Linked DNA regions of Cricetulus griseus. The protein of the gene in region 2 purifies or fractionates together with the protein of the main gene of each other region. This does not show direct contact. Links are inferred from orthologs where the notes say so. Each region holds a gene or a part of one and is shown on either strand. Other genes may lie near its edges.

Evidence for each region.
Region 1: the proteins of baculoviral IAP repeat-containing protein 3 (region 2) and Bcl10 purify together in Homo sapiens (affinity purification with western blotting; 5 studies listed by BioGRID and IntAct, with this or other methods). This does not show direct contact. The link is inferred for Cricetulus griseus from reciprocal best matches to the Homo sapiens genes BIRC3 and BCL10.

Annotation. Positions count from the first base shown.
Region 1 is NW_023276806.1:13,245,675-13,258,120, forward strand, and holds the start of Bcl10 (B-cell lymphoma/leukemia 10), read right to left. Parts: upstream 8,299-12,446; 5' UTR 8,118-8,298; coding exon 8,061-8,117; intron 1-8,060. UniProt on the Homo sapiens protein: Plays a key role in both adaptive and innate immune signaling by bridging CARD domain-containing proteins to immune activation.
Region 2 is NC_048597.1:122,236,956-122,249,511, forward strand, and holds the start of baculoviral IAP repeat-containing protein 3, read right to left. Parts: upstream 7,664-12,556; 5' UTR 7,529-7,663; intron 2,671-7,528; 5' UTR 2,578-2,670; coding exon 1,725-2,577; intron 1,619-1,724; coding exon 1,519-1,618; intron 1-1,518. UniProt on the Homo sapiens protein: Multi-functional protein which regulates not only caspases and apoptosis, but also modulates inflammatory signaling and immunity, mitogenic kinase signaling and cell proliferation, as well as cell invasion and metastasis.

The DNA.
Region 1 (12,446 bases), on a different chromosome or scaffold from region 2:
CTAAGTTCCTCTTCTTTCTCAAATCTCTCATACATCTGTTAGATTCTTACAAATTTTCAGGAGAAAACAGAAATTTGACTTGTCACATAAATTATACCAACAGTGTTCTGCCCATGATTTATTGGATATCCCTGAACCACAAAACAGGTAAGATGTTGAGAGCACTGGGACTAGAGAGATAGCTCTTTTTCTTGTAGAGGAGCTGGGTTTGCTTCCAAGTGTTCACATGGAGGCTCACAGTGATGTACAACTCTAGCTCCAGGGATCTGACTTCTGTGGACCCCAGGGACAAACATGGTATATATACATTCATAGTGTCAAAACACCCATATTGAAAAACAATCTAGAAAGTAAAACGAGTATGACTCTGGAATAAGATAAATAGCTCTTGAAATCCTGACTCCGATAGATGGTACAAATTACTCAACCACTGTACCTTCAGGGTATTCTTTGACAAAATAAGGATAAAGAACTACACCCATCTAGGAAGACTAACTAGGGTGATGTACATGAAGTCTCAGTCCAGTCTGTCTCTGTCTCTGTCCTCTCTCTCTCCCCCCCTCTTTTCCCCTCCCTCCCTTCCTTCGAGACAGGGTTTCACTGTGTAGTCCTGGCACTCACTCTGTACATCAGGCTGGACTCAAACTCACAGAGATGCGCCTGCCTCTGCCTGTCAAGTTTAGCCTAGTCTCTTATAGACAGTAAAATTCAATGACCAGTGAGTACTGGATCATGACAGGCAAGATTCTCTATGACCTACCTCTCTAGACTAACCCGGCAGTACTGTGTCCCAGGACTTTTGGTCCATCTACAAGTGGAGACTGACACTGTTTCATGCTGCTATGTGTCTGATTCAGCTCCTACTCATCGTCTAAGACTGAGGTCACTGGTGGGTCACTTCTGGAGAACCTCACCTTAACATCCAGGATGAGTGGACACACCTACCTTGCAGCACCAGGTTCCTACTTCTTTACCTCATTTCCCAATTCATCCCCAGATATTTCCACTGTGTCCCAATGCTCTTCCCAAAGTCGCCAATGACCTCCTCAATGGACAGCACCTTTCCACCTTCATGATATTTGGCTTCTCAGAGTAGGGGCACAGCTGATGACCCCTTCCTCCAGACACAACGTCCTTGCTGAGCAAGTACGACACTGTGCTGACTTACTTCTGATGTCTATGACACTTCTCTCTGCACCCCTCACCCCCTCTGGGGTCTTGCTACATAGCCTGCCTGGCCTCAAACTCGTCATCCTTCTGCCTCAGCCTCCAAATGATGGGACTGTAGGACAGCGCCTGAAAACGTCTTATAGGGCCTCAAACGCCTCATGTGCTAGTTCTCACGTTTCTCGATGTCAAGCTTGTATTTTTCTACGTTAAAGCTCTCTTCTGATCTTCATACCTACTCTTCCTCAACTTAAGTTTGCCACCGAGTCCCATTATTTCTATGCTCCTAAAATGTACCTCAGACTTCTATTTCATCCACGCCTACTGCCCTCACCCTGGTCCAAACCATCATCTCTCCACACGCATTTATTCACGTCTTTTCATGCCCTTTTCCACTTTTACTCAGCTCCTAGGTCCACAGAAAAGATTTTTAAAAGTCAAACAAACAGCTCTCTGTCTCTTCTCCTCTCTCCATGGCGGTCAGCCATTAACTTTGTTTCTCTTCTCTCTTACCCTCTCTACTCTGCCGGGCCTATAATGAACTGGTTAATGAAAGAAAAAAAAAAAAAAAAGCAAACAAACAAAAATCCTATCAATTCCTTAGCAAGTGTCTTCTAGCAGAAAGAAATCAAGTCCTTCACGAGTTTCCTTAGACCAGCTTCCTCATTTCATCCTGCCCTCAACACTCTGAACTTACAAAGATCTTGACTGGCTTAGATCCATGTCAAATTCCTGTCTCCCTCAACTTCTCCTCCTCCAGCTCTGCCATAACCTTCAGGAATCAATTTCAGGCACATCTGACCATCCTAGCCAAAGTACAATGCTCTGGGGCTTGTCTTCATGGCACTCACTGAATTTATAATTGTATGAATGGTACTGTATTTTTCAGCTTTAATGACTTACATGTTTAGAGCAAGTAGGAAACAGGAATGTTCCGTTTAATGCTGTATACTCTGCATGTCAGAGTGCAGTGTTTTGGATGAATGAAAAATCCATTACAATATCACTTTATGGCTATTTCTCTTCATTCAAGAAATTGAGCTATTTTAAAAACAGGATTTTCTCTTGGTTCTCAATTTAACTGTTAGAACCAAATTACATTAACAGGGTACCATGGAATCTCTGTTTGTTAAGATGAACCAAATTCAACCAAAACCAGGACATATTAAATAAACATGAAAAAGGGGAGGAGCATTGGAGACACAGGTGTAACAAGAAGTCTTTCTGCCCGGCCGCGCAAGTTCTGTCACGTTATGGTCCCAAGTAACACAGAGAGAGTTACATTAGGTACAAATGCTGCTTGGCCAATGACTAGGATTCTCATCTGCTAGCTCAGTCTTAATTATCATAAATCTATATATTTTATAAAACTTATCAGACACTTTTTGCTGGCGCCCTCTGTTGCCGGCGACTCCAGAGCAGAGACCAGGAGGAAGAGCGGGGGGGGGGGGGGTGACTTCCTTCTTGCTCTTGCTTATATTTGAGTGTCCCTGCTATGGCACTTCCTGCCTGGATAACAACGCTTCTTTACTACATTTCCCCAAATCCTCCTTCACTCCTAGTCCCGCATAAGTTCCTCCTCATTGGCCAAACAGTACTTTACTTATCGTCCAATAAGACGGACACACACACAGAAGCACTTCCCCATCATCTTCTCTTCTGACTAAACAAAAAGAAGGGTAACTTATCTCTTATAATAACTGAAGAAAACTATAACCATAACTATCTGTCTTCAACTCTATCAAAGACCACAGAAGGATAATATATAAACTCTAGAATTGACAGAGACATCACTACCTGGACAGTCACCCAAAGTTCCTCTGTAACGTTGGGGCATCCATCCTCAGCCCATAGGCCACAGTGTGTCTGGCACACTTCTCCATTTCAACAGGAACCCTTCAGGACTGACTGTTCATCTTGTTTTGTAAGTTCAGCAGTCACTTTCTTGTGGGTCCTGCATGTCCATTTTATACAGCAACAAACAGTCCAGGCAAGAGCAGTTTCTTGCCCAAACGGCTAATCTTGCCATGTTGAAGGCAAACTCCATAAGGAGTTTCTTCGATGCCCATCCTCCTTTGTGACGTAATTGGTGTGTCAGGAGCAGCTGTGTCTTGATTATTGGTAGAGAAGGACATGACTTAAAGCATTTAAAAATGGCCCTTAAAGGGGACAAGGACTTAAACAGTCCATGAATACTATCTGCTGAAGCAGAAAAAGAGTTACAATGGGTGGAAAGCAGAATACTGGATGCACACGTGGATCTAGCAGACCCTAATCTAGACTGAATTCCGGTCACTTTACAATCCAGAGAATACCCTTCTGGAATTCTGATGCAGAGAGAAGATATTATATTGGAGTGGATATTCCTGCCACATAAACAGAATAAAAAGCTAAAGACATATATAGAAAAGATTTCTGATTTGATTCTAAAGGGCAAATTAAAGACTTCGTCAACTGCCTGGAAAAGATCCAGCAGAAATTATAAACCTTTAACTAATGAAGAAATTTCCTCCTTGTGGAAGGACAATGAATACTGGCAGATAGCTCTTATTGACTTTTTGGGAACGATCGGCAACAACTATGCCAAAACTGACAGAATTAAATTCATAAAAAAGACAGTCTGGATTCTTTCACATATTATAAAAAAACTCCTACTTCTGGAGTCCTTACCTTCTACACTGATACCAACAAATCAGGTAAGGCAGGTTAAAAATCAGGAGAGGTAAGTAAAATAGTTCAAAGTCCATATACATCTGTACAGAAGGCAGAATTATATGCAATTCTCATAGTACTTGTGGATTTTACAGAACCTCTTAATATAGTTACTAATTCTCAATATGCAGAAAGAGGCATTTTACACATTGAGACTGCAGATTTCGTTCCTGATAATACAGAATTAACTTCTCTGTTTTTACAATTACAGGAAACAATCAGAAACAGAAGTAATCCTCTATACATTACACATATCAGATCCCATACGGGTCTGCCAGGCCCACTAGCACAAGGCAATGATGAGATTGATCATTTATTGATTGGCACTGTGCTAGAAGCCTCAGAATTTCATAAGAAACATCATGTAAATAGCAAAGGTTTGAAAAAGGACTTCTCTTTCACTTGGCAACAAGCCAAGGAGAAACTGTCCTGCTTGTTCCTTTTATAACCAAACTCCACTGCCAGCAGGCTGTAATCCTAAGGGCATTCGGAGAAATGAGGTTTGGCAGATGGATGTCTTTCACTTTACAGAGTTTGGAAATTTGAAATATGTGCATCATACTATAGACACATTCTCAGGGTTCCAATGGGCTACTGCTTTTAACTCTGAAAAAGCTGATTCTGTTATTACACACCTGCTAGAGGTGATGGCAGTTATGGGTATACCTGCACAAATAAAAACTGACAATGCTCCAGCATATGTCTCTACAAAATTGGAACAATTTTTCAAATATTATAACATAAAGCATGTTACTGGTATACCACACAATCCTACAGGACAAGCAGTGGTTGAGAGATCTAATAGAACACTTAAGGAGATGCTCAACAAACAAGCTTGGAAGACTAAACCCCCCAAACATAGGTTGCATAATGCTTTATTAACACTAAACTTTCTTAATGCCAATGAGAAAGGACAAACAGCTGCAGAAAGACACTGGACTATGGAAAAAACTGCAGAACTGAATCAGCCGGTATACTTCAAAGATGTACTAATCTCTGTATGGAAACCAGGACATGTGTTACGTTGGGGAAGGGGTTTCGCCTTTGTTTCCACAGGAGAAGAAAAATTTGGATACCATCAAAGTTAATCAAAATTCGAGTCAAAAACGAAAAACCTCTCAATGAGGAAGAATGACAGGTAACATACCAAGGTGTATCTCATAAACTGTATAGAAACCTCCCAAAGGAAAGGGTTTTTCTTTTATCTTCACAGGAAAACTCATCTCCTGAAGGCAAAGGACACTGCATGGGTAGATACTTAAGAAGAAAAGGTAGCTATAACCATCAAACAAAAGTGTAGGGAGCCAGTTCCTGCATTATCCATTACAATAATGGTGCCTGAAGACACCAAGATGTAAATTACTTCACAGGCGCTGGGTTTCTCTTTATTTCCTAGTCCCTATTCAATTAAACCAATGCTGGCTTTAGAGGTGGATTTGGCTTTCCTCCTCTAAATCCAAGCACTTTGTTAAACTTCAGAGTTTCTGTACTATATCAAGAAGTCAATTGATGTAATACAGAATAGAGGAAAGATCAGGGACTGTCATTTGTCTTTTCTTGGCCTTTTTCTCTCAAGGTGTACATCCTTTCATAATTCTTATTTTCCCATGGTTGCCTTTCCCGGTATGCATACATATACAAGCAAATATTTCTCTGCTAACATTTATTTTTGAGTCCCACACAGCCAATGAAGACCTGTTGACAGCAACCCCTGGATGCTCCAGAAAGAAAATGGGCCACACCTCCTCAATTGCACTGGATCCATCTTACTTATTTCAGCTGACACTCTGGCCAGAACTTCGGGTACTGACTTCAATCAACACAAGAACTTCAATAGAGACAAGGACTTCAACCTGGACCTTCAATCAGGCACCTCCCACCAAACATGGACTGGATATAACACATTCAGGACTTTCATTACACTAACATTTCTTCCCACAGGACCCCACGGGGTTGTCACTGTCATCCCAGTTCAGCAGGAAGTAGCATGGAGAACACTGCATCCCCTTTCCCCACTGTTTACACCTAGTCTGCTATTATTTAAGGCTGGGTTTGGAAGGAGGTGTTCAAGCTTGGACATCTCTTTCGGATGACTTTAAGGTTTAGTTGGGATAGTTATAGTTAAGATGTGACATTAGTAGATTATTATAACCTCATGTAATTTACCCTTATGATTGTTTATAATAGATAATTTACACTGTTAAGTTTTAATCCTCTTTTAGACTAAAAGGGGAATTATAGGGGAAATGTCAGCCATGCCCTCTTGGGTGCTGACACAGGTAACGCAGAGCACGCACACTAGGGTATGGTCAGTGATGTAGCAAGACCTTAAATATGAGGGTCGCACTCAGGCGGCTCTCTCTGTTCCATGGTTCACCTTGTTTAGAGGACTGACTGGTTTCGTGAGTACTTTTAAAACATGTGCTCGTCAAACTTGGTCGACTTCTTTGAGGTACACATTATTTGTGCCCCACTTTACACAGGTGTCCCGGGGGATCAGCAGCTGGACAATGGTCCCCAAGACTCAGGGGATGTCTGAAACTCAAGGTACAAATCTCATACCCAAGCTCTCTGCCATAAAAACTCATCTCATAGTCAAGGCAGCTGCCAACAGGCAGGAAAAGCTCACAGTGTGATAGACTAGGGATGAGGTGTGACTCATGCCCCTGGTCAGATGCAGTGAGTGGTACAAGATTATCATGCTACTTAGAGCAGTGCTCAATTTGTACCATGTAACTTGTCAAATTCCCGTCCAATATCTTTGGACCATGGCTGACCACAGGCAACAGAAGCCACAGAAAGGAGACCCTGAAAACAGTATCATGTGCACAACTTCCCATTATTTATCAGGACAGATAGTACAGGAGGAACAGCACGAAGTCTGGCAGGGGTATTGAAAAGCTCCATTTTTGAAAATGTAAGAATAACTTGTATAATATTAAAACTTGATTCCTAGAAAACACTTGGAATAGAGGTCTGAGGTTGAGAAAGAAGGAGGTTCAAGTTATGTCGACAAATTTTTAAGCTTGTCATGAGCAGCTTTAATAATAGGATATCTGAGGAAAAATACGTTCTATAGACACCTTGAAGCTCATGCATAGTTTCTCTACAGTTGTGAACATCTGATACAGGGCTAAACTGTTAATGTCATAACGAACCAACTGGGCAGTGACAAAGGTCTGCAGTACTCATGTGTGTCCACAGACAGGTCTTGTCCTGCTCTGCCAGCTATAAAATGAAAAGCAATTCTCTTCTTTACAGGTATTGTGAGAAAATTCAAAACCGTGTGAAACGGAACTGGAAGCATAGCCGCCATACTTTAGTACATGGTTTTACTGGCATCTTAAATAAGACTATGGTAGCTATGAAAGACCTAGTCCCAAGTAGAATGTGAAGAAGCTCTCTGGACAGGATGTGCCCTACCAACAACACCGAACAAGGGAACTACGTGGGGCACGAACCCCACTCAACTACGCCAATTTTAATCATGGGTGCAATGCAATAAACCTTACAAGGGATAAAGTACGGCAGAAACAGGGATCTGAAGCAGAAACGACCTCAACAACTTGCTCTCAAGTTCGCAAAGACGGTTTTCCAACAGCACTACCTACGGTGCTAAGCAAAGAACGAGTTACTGTCTTTAACGTGAATCCACGTATATGATCTAAGTGGCGCTTATCTGACTTTCTGGCAAAACTCGTAACTGGAGTAAGAGAAGAAAGGAAGCGAGCGCATCGTGCCTCGGGTCACAAACTCTAAGTAAGGTGCCTGTGCCGTTCCGCCCGGTCTCAGCACAGGCGTGCGAGGCAGCCGCTGACTGTTTTCAAACGTGTGCCTGGCAGCCGAGCCTCGCTCGACGCTCGCACACCCCCCTGCATTGAAATGCGTGGGCGTCTGACGGCGGGGAATTCCGGGCTGCGCTTCCAGCTGGGCGAGCTTCACCCGGCCGCTCCTGCCTGGGGACCCCGGGCGGCGCTGGCCTAGCGGCTCCCGCGGGGTGAGGCGGGCGGGGGTCGGCAGGATGGGGAGCCCCCGGCGGGGAGCGGAGGGCACACAAACACCCAAGCCGGCCCCGGGCCCCGATCCAGCCTTCTTCCGACACCAAGCTCCCGGTCGCTCGGCTCCGGGTTTCGGGTTTCCGCTTTCCTCCGCCCGCCCCGCTCGCCCGCCGAGCTACTCACGTCCTTCTTCACTTCAGTGAGGTCCTCCTCGGTTAGGGACGGCGCAGGAGCCTCCATGGCCAGGGCCGGGATGGCGTCCTTCCGGCCCGCGCCGCGCCGCCCCGCCCAGGCTGAAGCCTCCGGTCTCCGGGACGCAGGCCACCGGTGACTCTGGGGGACCAGGACCAGATCCGGGGGAACCGCCGGCCGGCTCCCGGAACGCGGAGGTGCGGAATCTCAGCGCCCCACTTCCGGCTCCGCCCCTGAGGCCTGCGGAGCCTCGCTCGCCACGCCCCCTCCCCGTCCCTAGGCTGGAAGGCCTAGCTCAGGCTCCACCCTCCAGGGGCGGGTCTACCGTCAGCCCCCGCCCCCAATAGGGCCAGCCAATCAGTGCTAGCCCGCGGTTCTCGCTCCTTCTTCCGGAGTGGCTTCGCCGACAGGGGCCGCCTCTCTAGCCACGCCCAGGATCTATTTGCATAAGGTTGCGGATTGGTCTGCCGAGAAGGACTCGTTTCCGTGGGCGGGGCCGTGGCCGCTCAGTTTAGCGGGATCTCCCCGCCCTCGCAGACTCCGCATTTGGGTGGAGCGTGGGCCGAGTCCGCCGTCAGGTCCTCTGCTTTGCTTCTCTTTTCCAGATGTTGCGCAACGATTTCCTGTTGTTGTGCTGCTGCTCCAGGTTTTATGATTGCTCGATCGTGCACAAACGCTTACAGGTGTGCAAAGCATACACGCGCACATAATATAACTTCAGTATTGAAATGTTTGAGGGCCTGGTCCGGGCCCGCTGACACCCACAACTAGGGAGACTGGAGGAGCACGAGGATCGTGAGACCAGAAAACAAATCAAAATAACAACAACAAAGTAAACAAGTAAATAACGAAAAAAGGTGTTAACTTTAAAAACATCACCTGCAGTCCCACTATTTTAGCACCTAAAGCAATGTTTGGAGTACTTTTAAGTCACTGTTAGGAACGTATCCCCTTACTAACCTAGCAATAGAGATAGATTCTTCTAGGGCCTCCTGGAATATAGTTAAGGTTCTGAAGTTACTTGGTGCACAGTTGCACGCTCGTGTTTGTTTTTATCCATTATCATTATTCACTAGGCAAGTGTTTTAGTCACCTTGTGATGGGGAAGTTCTCTTATCGGAGACCAGATGGCTATTCCCAGGATGGTATTCTAACTGTAGCAGCGTGTGCAAACCATAGGACATAGTGGACCAGGAGCTCCAGATAGAGTGCTACGCCAAATAGGATTATGTGTGGGTATTTAACATGTTACAAGCTCATAAATGCTAAGAGGAAAAATAGAGAAGGGAAGTAGGAAGGGTGATGGTGCAGACTCACTGAGAGAAGGGATAAATTTCCCACCTTCAGGAAGTGAGGCAGGAGCCCTGTGGACAGATGGAGAAAGATCTCTAGGAGTGGAGTGCCCCACCAGTGAGCAGACTCCGTGTGACAGGGAGATGAACTCTGTGTGTATAATCTGACTTTGCTCTGAGTCATGCAGGTTTACTCTGACTCAGAAGGGACGCCATGGAGACTTCAGAGCAGAGGAGTGACAGGTGCCGTCTATGATTTGAGGGTCTCTTTCACTGTTCTAGGAGGGGAGACAAGCTGGGCGGCTCCGGTCTGATGTAAACCCCAGGAGGTAGCGGTTGGGCTAGGTGGGCGGTGCTAAGTGGGAGCTGTGAGAGACAACGCCTGGAAGAGAAGGGGCGGGGAGATTGGATTTTGTTTTGAAAGGCTCACAGTAGCTATCAAAAAGAATAGACTGGAGAAGGGTGAGAAAGAGAAACAGCTCCAAGCTTTATTCTCCCTCCACCCAGTACCATTGTGAACACTCTTCACCGTCACTTTTGGTCATGAAAAATTGTCAACAGTTTTCCTTTTTTCTTCCTTTGCAATCAGGTCTATATTGTTCAGGCAAGTGTTGAAGTGGTTTCAGGCCGTCCTCCGACCTGAGCCTTGTGTATGATCGTATCCTGTAGTTCTCAGTCCTCGGTTTCTAACGCATTCTCTTCCTCCATTAGGAAACTTATTTCCCCTTTTCTACTAAATCACAGGGCAAGACTATAATTGCCTCAAACAAACATGCCTGGCCATTCTTTGCAATAAGTACCTCTTCCCAACCCTGGGAACCAACCTACATTGCCATCTCAACTTGTAAGTGTACGCATGTCCTACTCTGAAACCGGAGATACCTGATCCTGTTCTGTAGATGTGATTTGGAAGCTGCAAACACAGGGCACTGAGATAATAGTCCATGATGCTGGGACAGTTTCTCAGAATGTCTCCTCGTGGTTAAGGGACACAACACATGAATGTATTTTCAAATAGGATCACGTTCTGAGGTTCCAGTTGATGTGAATTTTGGGGAGATGCTGACATGTGTTCTGAGAACAATTAGTAGAAATCAATTAGGGAATTTTTCTAGGGCTGTAGGGGGAGGAAGAATATATCATTTACAAGTGGTAAGATGTAAGACAAACAACATCTTAAAAGCAAAGCTTTAAGCTGAGTGGCAGGATTTTATCAGTGGAGCCTTAACAACTTAATGATTTATCCTGAACTTCCTGTTGGATATAAGATACTGTACTGAACAACACATTTAATTCCAGGTGATTGTGAGCTAGAAGTTTCTTGTAAATAGAAAATGAAAGTGACTATCTCTGAGATATATAGATATTCCTGGGTGTTAATGGCAAAATAATGTGTGGGGAAAATCCCCTGTCCCAGCATGGGGACTTTGTGAAGGAGACCCGGGAGGTGCCATGTGGTGAAAATGAATGAACTTCCACAATGTTATCCTGACAACTGCCTCTAGGGAGACTTACTATCTTCCCTTGACAGCTGGGGAATCTAAGGTTTAGAAAACATGATTTGCTTAAGGCCATTCTCCCAGCAGGTAGCAGAATCCGGATTTCTACTCATCTCTGATACCGAGACCGGTGTTCTCATCACCAGTGGTGCACCGACTGACTGTCAGGACACAATCATTCAGGAAGGCTGCTTGAGCAGATGCTGGAGCAAGGCAAAAGTGTGTAATGTCCTCAGGTCTATTGTCTAGGCAGGCTAGGAAAGGTTGTCATGTGGTTGTCTGACTTCCTAAGAGACAATGAGCGACTTTAGACTGGCTGGGAAAGGAGCTGTAGGCCCCTTAGCGGGTTCCCAGCTGACTCTGACTGGATCACCCTGCAGACTGTAGGGCCCCTTAACGGGTTCCCAGCTGACTCTGACTGGATCACCCTGCAGACTGTAGGGCCCCTTAACGGGTTCCCAGCTGAGTCTGACTGGATCACCCTGCAGACTGTTGAGGTAGAAGGGGCCAGAAGTGAGCTCAGGGCTTAGGAAGGTAATAGATGGAACTGGACACACAGGGCATTGGCACTGTGACGAGGAGGCCACAGCTTAAACTGTAACAGTACTTTATTCCTTTTCTGTGGGCAACTCGTATTCCAAGCATGGATAGGCCACGTCTTATTTATGTCACTCTGGGGACATTTGGATTCATTCTGCATATTTTGACAGCCATGAATGAGTATTGTGGACACACACATAAAGTTGTGTGAGCATATGCTTTCATTTCTTTTGGGGACAGCCTTAAGAGTGGAATTTCTGGGTCATGTGCTAACCATACTTAGCCTTTTAAGTGGCAGTGGCAGTTTCAGAACTTCTCAGTTGGTTCTGATATTGAACTGGTACCTGGAACCAGTGACATCAACAGAGTTGTGAAACTAGGGATCCATCCTAACAACTCTGGGGAGACACTCGCAGAGTCCTCCATAAGCAGCAGGGGTCTGTGTAGAGGAGGAAGGTGGCTTCGAAGCTGATTTCTGGCTGCTTCTAAGATATGAAGGATTATTGAGCCCAGGCAGCCAAAGTGTCTTAGTGCCCACACTGTTCCCAGTTTTGCTTGCGTTCACATTTACACCAGTGGCTTGGTCACGGGTAAACACTGGAAACGAGGGTTTTCAAACTTTTGTGTGTATGTGTGTATTTGTATGTCTGTGGCTCCATATTACACGTGTGCATCCATGCATCTGGGGCCAGAGGGAAATCTTTGGCATCACATTCTCTCTCTCTCTCTCTCTCTCTCTCTCTCTCTCTCTCTCTCTCTCTCGTGTGGGGTGTGTGTGTGTGTCATAGTTCATGTGTTAAAGTTGGAGGGCAAACAGTGAAATTGGTTCTTTCCATCCGCCGTGTGGGTTCTGGGATGGAAAGCCAGCCCGGCATGGCAGCAAGTGCCTTTACCTTTGAGTCATCTTGTTGGCCCCACCTTGTCTTTGGAGACAAATTCTGTGATGACTGTGATGACTAATACTTAGTGTCAGCCTGGCAGAATCTAGAATTGTAACCCTCTGTGCGCACCTGAGAAGAATTCTGTGGATTAGGTTAGCCTCTGGG
Region 2 (12,556 bases):
CCGGGACTGAAATTATAGGTGGTTGTGAGCTGCCTGAATGTGGGTGCTGGGAACCAAGAGCGGTAACCACTGACCCATCTCTCCAAGTGCTGCCCATTGAGGGGAGGGTGAATTTGATTAACTTCTAGCACTTTTCATATACTTCAGTTGCTTTATAAAATTAGCTTTACTACTTTATGTTTTATAGTTTTATTACCAGGCTATACCATATCTCTCTGAATTTTGAAAATCCTGAAAAGTTTATGGCACATTGGGCGGAGCCATTCTATGTAGGCTGGTAAACATTCCTCAGGAGCTTGAACACAAACATAAGCACCACACTATTGACTTGGCACAGGAAGGAGGAAGGGGCTGTAGCGAAAGGCAGGATCATGGAGAGGAGTAGCCTCTGTGCTGTCAAGGCTGAGCCACTGAGTGGTGATCACGAGGAGCTCCCAGCACAGTCCTCAAGCCAAGGCCACCAAGAGGTCTCTACTCAGAGTTTCTCCCTGCTCTCCATTCTTCTTAGGTTTCTAAAAATACCGCTAAGCCAACATGGACGCAGAGAGTTCTCTCCATAAGTCATGTGATCATTTCAGTGACAATGTCATGGTCTGAAAACATGCAAACAGACTTGAGGGAAAGAATGGGGACACTCAGCACAACCTTCTGTTGATGAGCTTCCCAATCCCTACATTAGAGATCCCCTGCTAAAGCAAGTACAGAGTGAATCCATACAGTGCTGGTGCAGGCTCAGGACTCCTACTGTAGCGGCTGGCGAGACGGCTCAGTGGGTACTTGCCACCAAGTTTGGTAACATGAGTTCAGTCCCACAGGATAAAAGGAGAGAACCAGCCCTCAAAAAGTGTTCTCTGACCTTCACAAAATATACACACATAAAACAAACAAAAAAAAGTATTAAAAAATTTAACTAGAGTAATGGAAAGCACTTTTTAAAAAAATCTATGTAAATACTTTTTTTCTTTTTTGGCTTTTCGAGGGGGTGGGGGGGATATTCTTCATAATCTTCACAATGTTTAAAATCTGAAGTAATGGGGCAGAAGAGATGACTCAATAGTTAAGAGCACTGGCTGTTCTTCCAGAGGACCAAGGTTTGATTCCCAACTCCCAAGAGTTGGCTCAGACCCTCTCTAACTCCACTCACAGAGGGTGCATCGCCCTCTTCTGGCCTCTGCAGGCACTGCACAAAATGGTGCTTAGACGTGAGTAGGCAAAATACTCATGCATAAAAAAATAAAACAAAATCTGCAGTACTTAAGAGCAAAGATACAGGGGGGGGGGGCGGTGGCGGCCCACGCCTTTAATCCCAGCACTCGGGAGGCAGAGGCAGGTGGATCTCTGTGAGTTTGAGACCAGCCTGGTCTACAAGAGCTAGTTCCAGAACAGTCTCCAAAGCCACAGAGACACCCTGTCTCAAAAAAAAAAAAAAAAAAAAAAAAAGGGCAAAGGTACTCTAAGGAAGATAATGTATCTCATGAAAATCTTATAAGATGTAAAGGAGAATTTCAAGGCAGTTACCTTGGAAACCACTTGGCGTGCTCCACCCAGGGGTCATCTCCAGACTCCCAGCATCTCAGCCCGCCATCACAGCAAAAGCATTTGACATCATCACTGTGTCCTAAAATTCATTTTGAAGCACACTTGTGAGTACACAAAATTTGCTCAGTCACATGTGTAACATAACACATGTTGGATCTTTAAGAGTCTCAGATTGAGGTTCTCACCTGTGTAATAAAAGCCGGCACTTGCAAGTTGCTGAGGATGAACGGGAGCACTGGGAGGCCAGTTAAAGAACGTCCTAACTCGTGCTGCGTGTGTCTGCATGCTCAGGTTAGAGACAGAGTATCTTGAAGCGGATTGACTCGGATCTTTTAAGAATGGGCAATTGGGAAAATGTCTCCGATGCTCTGACATAGCGTCATCCTTCGGTTCCCAGTTGCTCAGTTTCCCACCACACGCAAAGCAGGCCACCCTGTCTCCAGGTCCTACATAGTAGAAGCCGGCTCTGGCCAGCTCAGCTGGTGACAGGAAGGACAATGGCCACGTTTGATAGGTGAGTAATCTGGCCTTCTCCGTATTCATTGCAAAGTGGTAGGGACTTGTCCTCAAAGTAGGGCAATCTTGATTTGCTCTGAAGTTCACAGCATCCGAGGGAAAGCTTGAATAAGAGCCACTGAAATAACCAGTGTTCTCCAAACTTGCAAATAATGAAGGCACGGCGCTTGGCTCTGCAGACAGAAGAGGCGGCTGAGGGCTGGTTTCCAGACTGCCGGCTGGATTCAGAGTTCGAACAAAGCTGCAGCTGGGGTACAGCTGCCTGTGCTTTTCCACAGGACTGTCGCCTTGTTTCCAGTTGTCCAGCATCAGGCCGCAGCAGAAGCACTTGACTTTGTCGTTGACACCCGTGTAGTAAAAGCCAGCACGAGCCAGGCTCCTTTCCGATACAGGAACTCCAGCGGGGAAAGCTGAGTACGTGGACAAACGGTACAGCTCACATGAAAAGTCGTACTTCAATTCAAAGGTGTCGGCACTCTTCATCAGCTTGGACAGGAAGACACTGTCTGGAGCCATGTTCATGACGAATCGGTAGGGAGGGGAGGGGACCAGCCTTCCTCTGGGGAGGTAGTTTTGTGCATGGCTTTTGGTCAGTTTTACTACTAGGCTGAACACCTAAAATAAGAACAAACTCATTTTTTTTCTTCTATGTATTTCAGGATTCAGTAGGATGAGAGTCTAAATCCTACCCTGATACATTTAAGGCACAATTACACACAACCATACCTTTGCACAATCTTCATGCATACAATAGAAACTAGATTCTCCCTAAGAGCCAATGTGTGATAGAACTTAATTCCATCCTGGAAACATAGTGTTTGGGCACTTTGGGCCAGGCATCTTGAGGGGCAAGCCTGCTTCTCCTTGCTACAAGGAGGCACTAATGGCGTTCACCCAACCTGCACATGAAAGTCTGGTTCATGAAGCTATGTATGTATTCATATAGAATGAAACATGGATCAGACAGGATTTTAAAATAATAAACCACTTCAAGAGTTTTGTTTGGTTTTTGTTTCCTTTCAAAGGACCAAGACTTACTAACTACTTAGAACACCGAGTTTGTTCATCTGTAGCACTGGGGACTGAGCCCAGGGCCTCTGGCTCACAAAGCCTGTGTGGTACCACTCAGTTCTACAGCAAGTCTCAATCTCTCAATTTCTTTCTCTCTCTGTCTCTCTCCCCCTCCCTCCCTCCCTCCCTTCCTTCCTTCCTTCTTTTTTTGATTTTTTCAAAACAGGATTTCTCTATGTAGTCCTGGCTGTTTTAGAACTCACTCTGTAGACCAGGCTGGCCTCAACCCCAAACTCAGAAATCAGTCTGCCTCTGCCTTCTGAGTGCTGGGATTTAATGGTGTGGGCCACGAATGTAGGCTTGAGACCCAAACTCAGAAATTATGTCACAGAGTGTGTTCCCTGAGCACATATTTATCAAAACAAACAAGTCTATTACCATCTGAACACAGAGACCTTCAAATTGAGAGTCTCTCATAGAAGGACTCACTAGCCATTAGCAAATTCATCCTGTGTAAAGGCATGGGGGTTTGCTGCCACTGGCTGGAGTGGCTTCCTGCAGTTCACAGATATGGCAGGTTCTCTACCAAGGACACCAACTCATTATCTCTAAATGGCAGGAGAAATCCCACAGCTGTCAACAAGAGTCTCTCTCAGGAGAAATCATTGTGTCTAACCTCTCTGTCCCCTCCACAGGGTTATGAAAACTTGGTCGTTCTATGACATTTCTTTCTGAATAAACTAGTTCATCTGCCAAAATAACTCTCATGCTTACAGTCTATTTAAAAGTTGTGCTGTGTAGACCTTTAAAATACCAATGGTGGACAGTTTCTCAACTCTCTTGTAGTGTCTGTCTTACTTCCTCTAAATCTGCTGTGCCTACGAGAACATTTTGTTCCTGTTTGTTCTCTGTCATTGTTGCAATCTTTGAATGTGTCAGTGACCTCATGAGTACACTTCTGTACTACTGTGCAAAGCAGATTACTCATTTCCTCTGGATAGCCGGCACTCATGTTTGGATCTTTCTTGAATGTGGGCACTTTTTAAAAAGTGCCAGCCAGTGGGAAATTGCCAGGCAACTTTCTGAAGAGTGCTTCATCACTGTGCCCAGCCACAGAACTCCTTCCCTTCCTAGAGTCAAGTTCACAACCAAATCATAATACTCAACGCCTCAGACAATCAGACTACAGACTTCAAATGAGCATCTTTAGACAACAGTCCCGAAAGTCAACTGAGGGCTGAATTTGTCTGTCCATGCACAAAACTACCTCCCAAGATTAGACTAAGTCCCTTTAAGGGGTTTAGGCCTCCATTTTGAGATGTTTTGGTTTACAGAAAAAAAAAAAACAGAAAAAAAGCTACAAGTAGTAGAAGGGTTTGTGTCCTTTGTAAACCTGTTTAAAATAGAGAAATTAAAGTCAAACAACTCAGGTTTATAATACAATGTCTTTTTTCTTTTCTTTCTCCCCCTACTCCCTCTTTTTCGAGACTGGGATTTCCCTGTGTAGTCTAAGACAGCCTCAAACTCATGATTTTCCTGTCTGTTTCCCAAATCCTGGGATTATAAGCAAGTGCCACCATGATCTTTTCCTTAAGATGCTTTATACAAAACAGAAACTGGTCTGTAGCAAGAAGCTATGCTAATTCGGGCTGTCAGCGGGGCTCAGTGGTAGGGCACTCAGATAGCATACTCAAGACTCCTACCTCAGTCCCCAACTCTGAGAAAACAATGCTGCACTGGGTGTTGTCAGCCAAGAAATCTCACACAGAACTCATGAGTTACAGACCAGAGCATATATATAAAAACTTGCAGATGTCACATATACTTTGCACCCAGCTTCCCAAAATTAACATCTTATATAACAATAATGAAATTACAAAACTAGAAATTCCTTTTTATTTCTGACTGCACTGGGCCATCTCTCCAGCCCCAGTGCTCTTTGCAGTAATTTCAAGAGTCATAATACTTTACTCTTCTCACGTGCCTTTTTTGTTTTGTCTTAGACAGATATGCTACAGCTAGGGCTAGCTTGGTACTCAGTCTGTAACCCAGACTAGCCTCAAACAGTAGTATGCTGCCTGAACCTCCTGAGTTCTGAGGTTACAGGCATGAGCCACCAACTCAGATTCTAATTGTCTTTATTAGAATTACTAATGAAGGGCTTATACCTTTCTCTTTACAATTGAATAGTACTCCAGTGTACACACACACAAACACATTTTCTTCATCCGTTTATCTGTTAACAGGCATTCAATCTGTCCCGTTGTGAATAGTGATACAATAAACAGTGTGGGGGGTTGAATGAGAATGGCCCCCATACGCTCATATATCTGACTGTTTAGTCCCAAGTTGGTGGAGTGTTTAGGAAAGATTAGGAGGTGTGTCCTTATTGGAGGAGGTGTGTCACTAGAGGTCGGCTTTGAGGTTTTAAAAGCCCACACCAGGCCCAGGCTTTCCCTCTGCCTGCTGCTTGTGGATCAGGATGTAGCTCTCTCTCAGCTACTGCTCCAGCACCGTCCCTTCCTGCAAACTGCCATGCTCCATCATGATGATCGTGGAGTGGGCCTCTGACACCATAAGCAAGCCTCCAGTGAAAGCTTTCTTTTATAAGTTGTCTTGGTCATGTCTCCTCACAGTGACAGAACAGTGACTAAGACACAGGGTAGTCAGGAATTTCTCCCAAGCTGTCTTAAACTCCTCCATGTACCTATCAAGGAGTGGGAAAGCTGGGTCATATGGCAGTTCAGTGTTTAGTTTTCTGAGATGCTACACTGGTTTCCATAGACACCTTCCCAGCAACAGAGGGTTTGTTTTCTTTACATCCTAACATACCTCCATGCCTCGGCCCCTTCCTCCAATCTCTCTTTGCCACATTCACTCAGTTAACTGTGTTCTTCAAAAAGAGGTGCAGCCCCTGCCTGCCTGTGGTCTCAAGCCTTTTGGCAGCCTCAGAGAAACAACTACCCCCTCATGGAGCCACTCTCTCCTACTGCTTTGACTAGACTCTGCCTCACGTCTCCTCAAACACTGCACAACCCTAGTCCCGCCACAGTCCTTATGCTGAGTCCCTCTCAACTTCCAAATGAAGACCACCTCAAAGACCGCTTTTTATTCTAGCTTCTCCCGGGTCAGGTCCTCCCAACCAAGCCTAAAGAACATTTGCCTGTGAATCACATCTCCACACAACCAGATATTCTGTGTGCCAGCACCCCTCAAACACTCCATATTCATAACATCAAATCCACAGGAAGTGTTGCCATCTGCCACTGGGACCTACTTCCTCTTAGACCTGTCCTGATCCCCGCCCCTGTCCACATCAGTATGTAGGAGTCCTCTGTCCCTCACAGTGGTTCCTTGCGGGTCAGCTTGGCAACCCGGTCTCTTCTCTGCTTACTCTACCGTTTCCTGTAGACCTCAAGGGTGGCTGTATGACACTGCAGGGTAAATGTGTCTTTCTCCCTCCACCTTGGACTATTTCTCCTTCAGAAGAGGAAGTATACTTTAGTTTCTGTAGTAGCCACAGTCACAGGCCGAGCAAAGACACTGAGCCTTGTAACTGTCGTGTGAGACATATACCCCAGACTGGCATTGAACTCCCAAGTACCACAACTACAGGCCTGCACTACTAATCGCAGCAAAACTTCTTGTTGAATTTCTTAGCACAGTTGACAGGGCTCATCATGTCCATAGCACCTTCATTTATTAAGTCACATATCATAGGACGGGTGTCAGTCCCTTTTTACAAAGGAAACAACCAGGAGACCAGACATACCTTTAATCCCAGCACTCCGGAAGCAGAGGCAGGTAGATATCAAAGTTGCCTTGAGTTCAAAGCCATCCTGTTCTACTTACACAGTTCCAGGCCAGTCAGGGATACACAGTGAAGCCCAGAAAAACCACAAGTACCTCAGTTTTGTCGTTGCAGAATGGAGTTAATAACGGTGCCCACTGCTTACAATTGGTGATTAAGTGTACAGTTGGTGACATAAGTCTTTAGGGCAGACCCTGGCATGTAGTAGACAGAGAAATGACCACAGCCATTTCCTGACTAGATTAAGAGCACTACTGAGAAACTGGGTGCAGTGACTCAGACCTGTAAGTCCGTCACTCAAGGGGTTAAGGCAGGAGGATTTTCCAGAGTTCAAAGCCACTGGGACCTACCTATAGTGTGCGAGTGGTCTCCAACACCTATCCCTCCCCCAAAAGAAAGAGTCCTAGTGTACTTCCAGGCTGATTACTAAGAAAACAACCACTCCCATGCTCAAGCTTCCCCAAGCCCAGGTTCTCACAGTCTCAAGTCTCCCAGCTGCCTCTGGGCAGCCAGGGCCAGTGGGCAGGACCAGAGGTGCACAGCAGCCGTTTTTTGCAGGCCTGAGATCCAGCCACCCTGGCGACCCTCGAGCCACCCCAGGGACGCTCACTCGCTCTCCGCGCGCGCGCGCGCGCGCGCGCGCGTACTCACCGCAGCCCGCTCCTCAGGCTCTGCACGCCCGCAGGGACCTCCGATCTCTGGGGTGGCACCTGTCGCCCGGTCTATGGGGTTGGCTGAGTGTCACGACGCCTTTAAATCGTCCAGGCGGACCGCGCCCACCACCCGCCTCACCCTGCCCCGCCCAGGCTCGCCCTCCCGCGCAGGCCCGCGGTGCTTTCCTCCCCGGCTGGGGAACTCCGAGGGGCAAACCACACCACTTCCTTCTCATTCGGTGGCAGGCGGCCGGCCGGGGATTTCCGTGACTTCCTGGGCTCGGCTCGTCCCCGAGGCGTTTCCTGACAGTTTGTACTTCATGGTAGCCAGCTCACTTGAAAACAGATGTGCAGCCTCTGGGCTGGCCTGCCTGGAAGAGGCCCTGCCCCCGCTTCAGCCCCCAAGTTCTTCACAGAGAAAAAAAAAAAAAAAAAGGTCACAACTTTCCAGTCTACAACTGCCGAATAGAAAGAAAGAAAGAAAGAAAAAAAAAAAAAGCATATTTGACGTTAGGGGAAAAAAACCCTTTAACGCTGTAAAAGTCTCTCTGGTTATTTTCACTTTTTGTTTTGGACAAAAAAGAAGGAGATGAGAGGAACATTTTTAAAACGCCATGTAGATCGCCTCGTGGTTATTTTTATTGTTTTAAAGATAATAACCAGAACTGCAGGAGGATCTCTGTGACTCCCGGTCAGCCTGAGGGACATAGTGAGACTTTGTTTTAAAGAGGTTAGAACCACGTTGGTTCTTGTATTTGGAAGGTTTGTTTGAGGGCCTGAAGACTGCTAAGCAGCTAAAAGCACTTGCTGTTCTTCCTGAGGGCTGGACTTCTGTTCCCAACATCCACAAGGCGGCTCACAGCCACCTGAAATTTCAGTTCCCCCCTCCTGGCCTCCACCGGCCCTGCACATGCATGCGCGCAGGCATGAGGCAAAACACCCGCACATACATACATACGTACGTACTTTGGTGGGTGGGTTTCGAGACAGGGTTTCTCTGTGTAGTCCTGACTCCTGTAACTCGCTCTGTAGACCAGACTGGCCTTGAACTCAAAGATCCACCTTCCTCTGCCTCCCAAGTGCTAGGGTTAAAGGCGTGCACCACCGCCCAGCTATAAACACTTTCTTTAAGTTTAAAAAAACAAAAAAAAAACCCTGTTGCTTTGATCAGTTTTAGTAGGTGTTTTTCTTGTGTGTGTGTGTGTGTGTGTGTGTGTGTGTGTGTGTGTGTGTGTGGTTTTGCCTTGCTGTTCTTCGTTTTATAAACAGGATGAATAGATGTAGAAAAACAAAATCCCTGCCTTTAGCATTTTCTCTTACAAGGGATGACGATTAACTGTATCAGTGCTCTAGGAAAAACTTTTGCTCTTTTAGTCTAACTAGTCTGTCTCCTTCCATTTTCAGTGGGTTAGCAGCAAACTTAAGCAACTTTTCTCGAAGGAAGAGAGACCTGCCCTGGTCATTTGAGGAATAGGATGGATGCGGTATTGTGGACTCTGCTCAGGCTGAGCGGCAGGCAGGTGAGTTTGTCTGGCTCTGACAACACAGTTCCAACTGGAAGTCCACCTGAGACACTAGGTTTGTTGATAACATGGAGATAGATGTCCATCTACCTTTGAGCCTCCTTTTGAGGGCAGAGTCATGTGGTCAGTCTCTCTTGCAATTTTATTGCTGGCCTTTTTTTTTTTTTCTTTTAAGTTATTAAATAAGGTGTGGCACCAGGCCTGTGACCCAGAACTTGAGAAGCTGGAGCAGAAGACAGCTGTGACCTCAAAGACCACCGAGGTTACATAATGAACTCAGCCTGGACAAGAGGTAGCCTATGCCTTGAAATCGATAAGAATTAAAGTTAATTATTTTCTGGATAAACTCTAACTTGCATATGGGCAGGGACAGTATGTCTTTTACTTGATGTTTTACTCTAGCATCAGCAGAATGCTTGCACATACTAAGTGCTTAGTATCTTGATTAACAAATTGAAGCAACCAATCCTCTGGGTTTTCTCCATTCTCAATGTTCTCCTAAAGATTCCCCAAGTGTGATTGCTCACAAAATAGCCATCTAAAGATACTATTAATTTATCCTTGAATTATGTGTATGGGTGTGTGTATTCATGGTAGTGCCAAGCTTACATAGGCCAGAAGGATCAGCAGATGCCTTGGAGCTGAAGTTATAGAAGCTGGGAACATAATTAGGGTCCCCTGCAAGAACAGATGCTGAGCCATCTTGCCAGACCTAAATAGGCTTTTAAGCAGGAGTTATTAAGGAAACATTTGAAGAAAGAAGAAAGGTAGACATATAACCATTATTTTCTCTGCTCAGTTTTCTTCTGCCATCAGTACCAAGCCAGGTGAGAGTGACAGGGATTTGTATGCAGACCCAGGCTGACATGCATCCTCAGTATCTCATTAAATAACAAAAGTATTTTCCCTCAAAGGCCATCATGATTTCTTCCTAAGTGAGAATTTCACATCATAAAATACCATTAAAAAAACTTGTGTTCAACCTTTCCCAACCGTAACTTTTTTTTTTCTGAGACAGGATTTCTCTCTAACTCTGAAGCCTGTCCTGGAACTCAATCTATAGATCAGGCTGGTCTTGAACTCACAGAGATCTACCTGCCTCCACCTCCCAAGTGCTGGGTTTATTTTTAAGACTTAGAACCAGCCGGGCTTTGGTGGCACACACCTTTAATCCCAGTACTCAGGAGGCAGAGGCAGGAGGATCTCTTGTGAGTTCGAGGCCAGCCTGGTCTCCAGAGCAAGTGCCAGGACAGGCTCCAAAACAATACAGAGAAACCCTGTCTCAAAAAAAAAAAAAAAAAAAAAAAAAAAAAAAAAAAAAAAAAAGAAAGAAAGAAAAGAGCTTAGAACCAAAAGTGAGAATAAATCCAACTGGAGCCATGCCACCCTGGTTCCAAAGTAAGTGACAGGGATTTCCTGGGTTAGGGACAAGTTCACAACGTCCTGTGCATAGTCAGGGTCAGGCACAGTGACAAACCTTTAACACCATCACTTAAGGCAGTCTACAGAGGCCTGGGAATTTGAGGCCAGCCTAGTCAACATAGAAAGCTCCAGGCCAGACAAAGCTATATAGTGAGACCCTGTCTCAAAAATAAATAAATAGATAAATACAACCAGGTTTTTAACCAAGTCCTCATGAAGATCCAGTTGAGCAAAAAACATTATTTAGTATCAATATCAATATTCTGTAATGATGAAATTTTCCCCTTATAAATTGTAGCTTACTTTAACTTATCCAGATATTATAATGGAATACAATTTATCTGGCATCAAAACACACAGATTTAAAATTTTTGTATTAAATTTATTTATCTATTTAGTATGTATGTACATGTGTATGCATGCCACAGAAGACACTTGTGAAAGTTGGAAGACATCTTGTGGGGGGGTTGGTTCTCTCCTTGCATCATGTGGATATCAGGGAATTGAACTCAGGTCATTAGGCTTGATATCAAGTCATAGACAATGATATATGAGCTATCTCCCTGATCTAAGGTACAGAATCTTTAAGTATATACCTCCATAGATTGTTTATTTGTTTGTTTTCAGTAGAGGGTGTTGTGTAGTCCAGACTGGCCTTGAATCTTTGATCTTCCTGCTCCCTCCTCTTAAGTTCTGGGACTATAGGGTACACTACCATGCCTGGTTTGTGTGGTACTAGGATTTCATAATCCAGGGACTCCCATTTGCTGGGCAAGCATTCTACCCCTGGAGTTCGACTGTCATCCCAGATCCATGGATTGTTTTGATTTTTGTGAGATGGAGTCTTATTCTGTAGCCTGGAATTCACTATGTAGCCAAGGCTGCCCTTAAACTTGTGGCAATTTTTCTGCCTCAGCCTCTCCAGTACTGGTTTTTAGGCCTGAGCCTCCATGCCTGGACAGTTTTGTGGATTTTTTAGCAGCCATGTGCATTCAGATAGCCAGCAACCAGATTAAGAGCAGGACATTTTCTATAACCTCTGAATCCTCAGTTGGTAACACATTGCCCTGCAGCCCTCCCTCTGTGTGCTTCTCTGGTCAGTACCAAACTGCCCCTCAGCCCTCCACAAGCCACAGATTTGTCTGTTCTTGAACTTCTTAGGACTGGAACTATTGATATGTGTTCACACACTCGCTTCTGCCAGTCAATACAGTTTTCAGTTTCATCGGTGTCTGCGATGGTTAGTCTTTATTGCCAACTTGATTGGATTTGAAACTACCTAGGAGACACACCTTGGATTTGGGTCCTAGACTGACTAAAAAGAGGGGGATGGGGGAGAGGAAGCCAGCTGGATACTGCCATTCCTTTTCCTGCTTCCTGATTATGAATACAATGTGACCAGCAGCCTTACACTCCGCCCCCGTGCCTTCCCATTCATGGGAGACTGTATCCTATCAAACCATGAGCCAGAATTAACCTTCTCCCTTGCATTGCTTCTTTGCATGTATTTAGTCACAGCAATGAGAAAGGTAACTAATGCCTTGTCCTTTTCATTATCTCCCAGCATCCCCTTCCCTGTACACCACTGTCCAGTTATATATTCTCCTGCACAGGCAATTTCAGTTTCTTAGTTCGATCCTTTGCTAAGAAGGTGGGATGCCATCTCAAAAGAAAAACAAACAACACACATGCCCAAAGTTTTAGTTTATACTGTTTTGAATTACCACCAGCAAGGTTGAAGAAGGATTTCCGTAACTTTGCATGGTTAGCAGTTTCAGCTCAACAGACAGAGGGGAGCTGCCTCCCGCTCTGGCTCTTAGCTGATGGTGGTAACAATGTTAAGCACATGGTCTTGTGTTCTCTAGTGGCTTAGGTGTACTATGTGACTGTTTAAATTTCAAAGCTATCCTTCTGCTGTTTGTTTAATTGTTGTTCACTTTTTGAGAAAGTCTTCTGTAGCATGCCTGGCCTTGAACCTGTAATCTGAGTGATGGCATCATAGGTATGAGCCACCATGTCCACTTATTTCTTCCTTTTTGATGTGTGTCCCTTTTCGTTTTCTTTATTTACTGCTCAAGTTA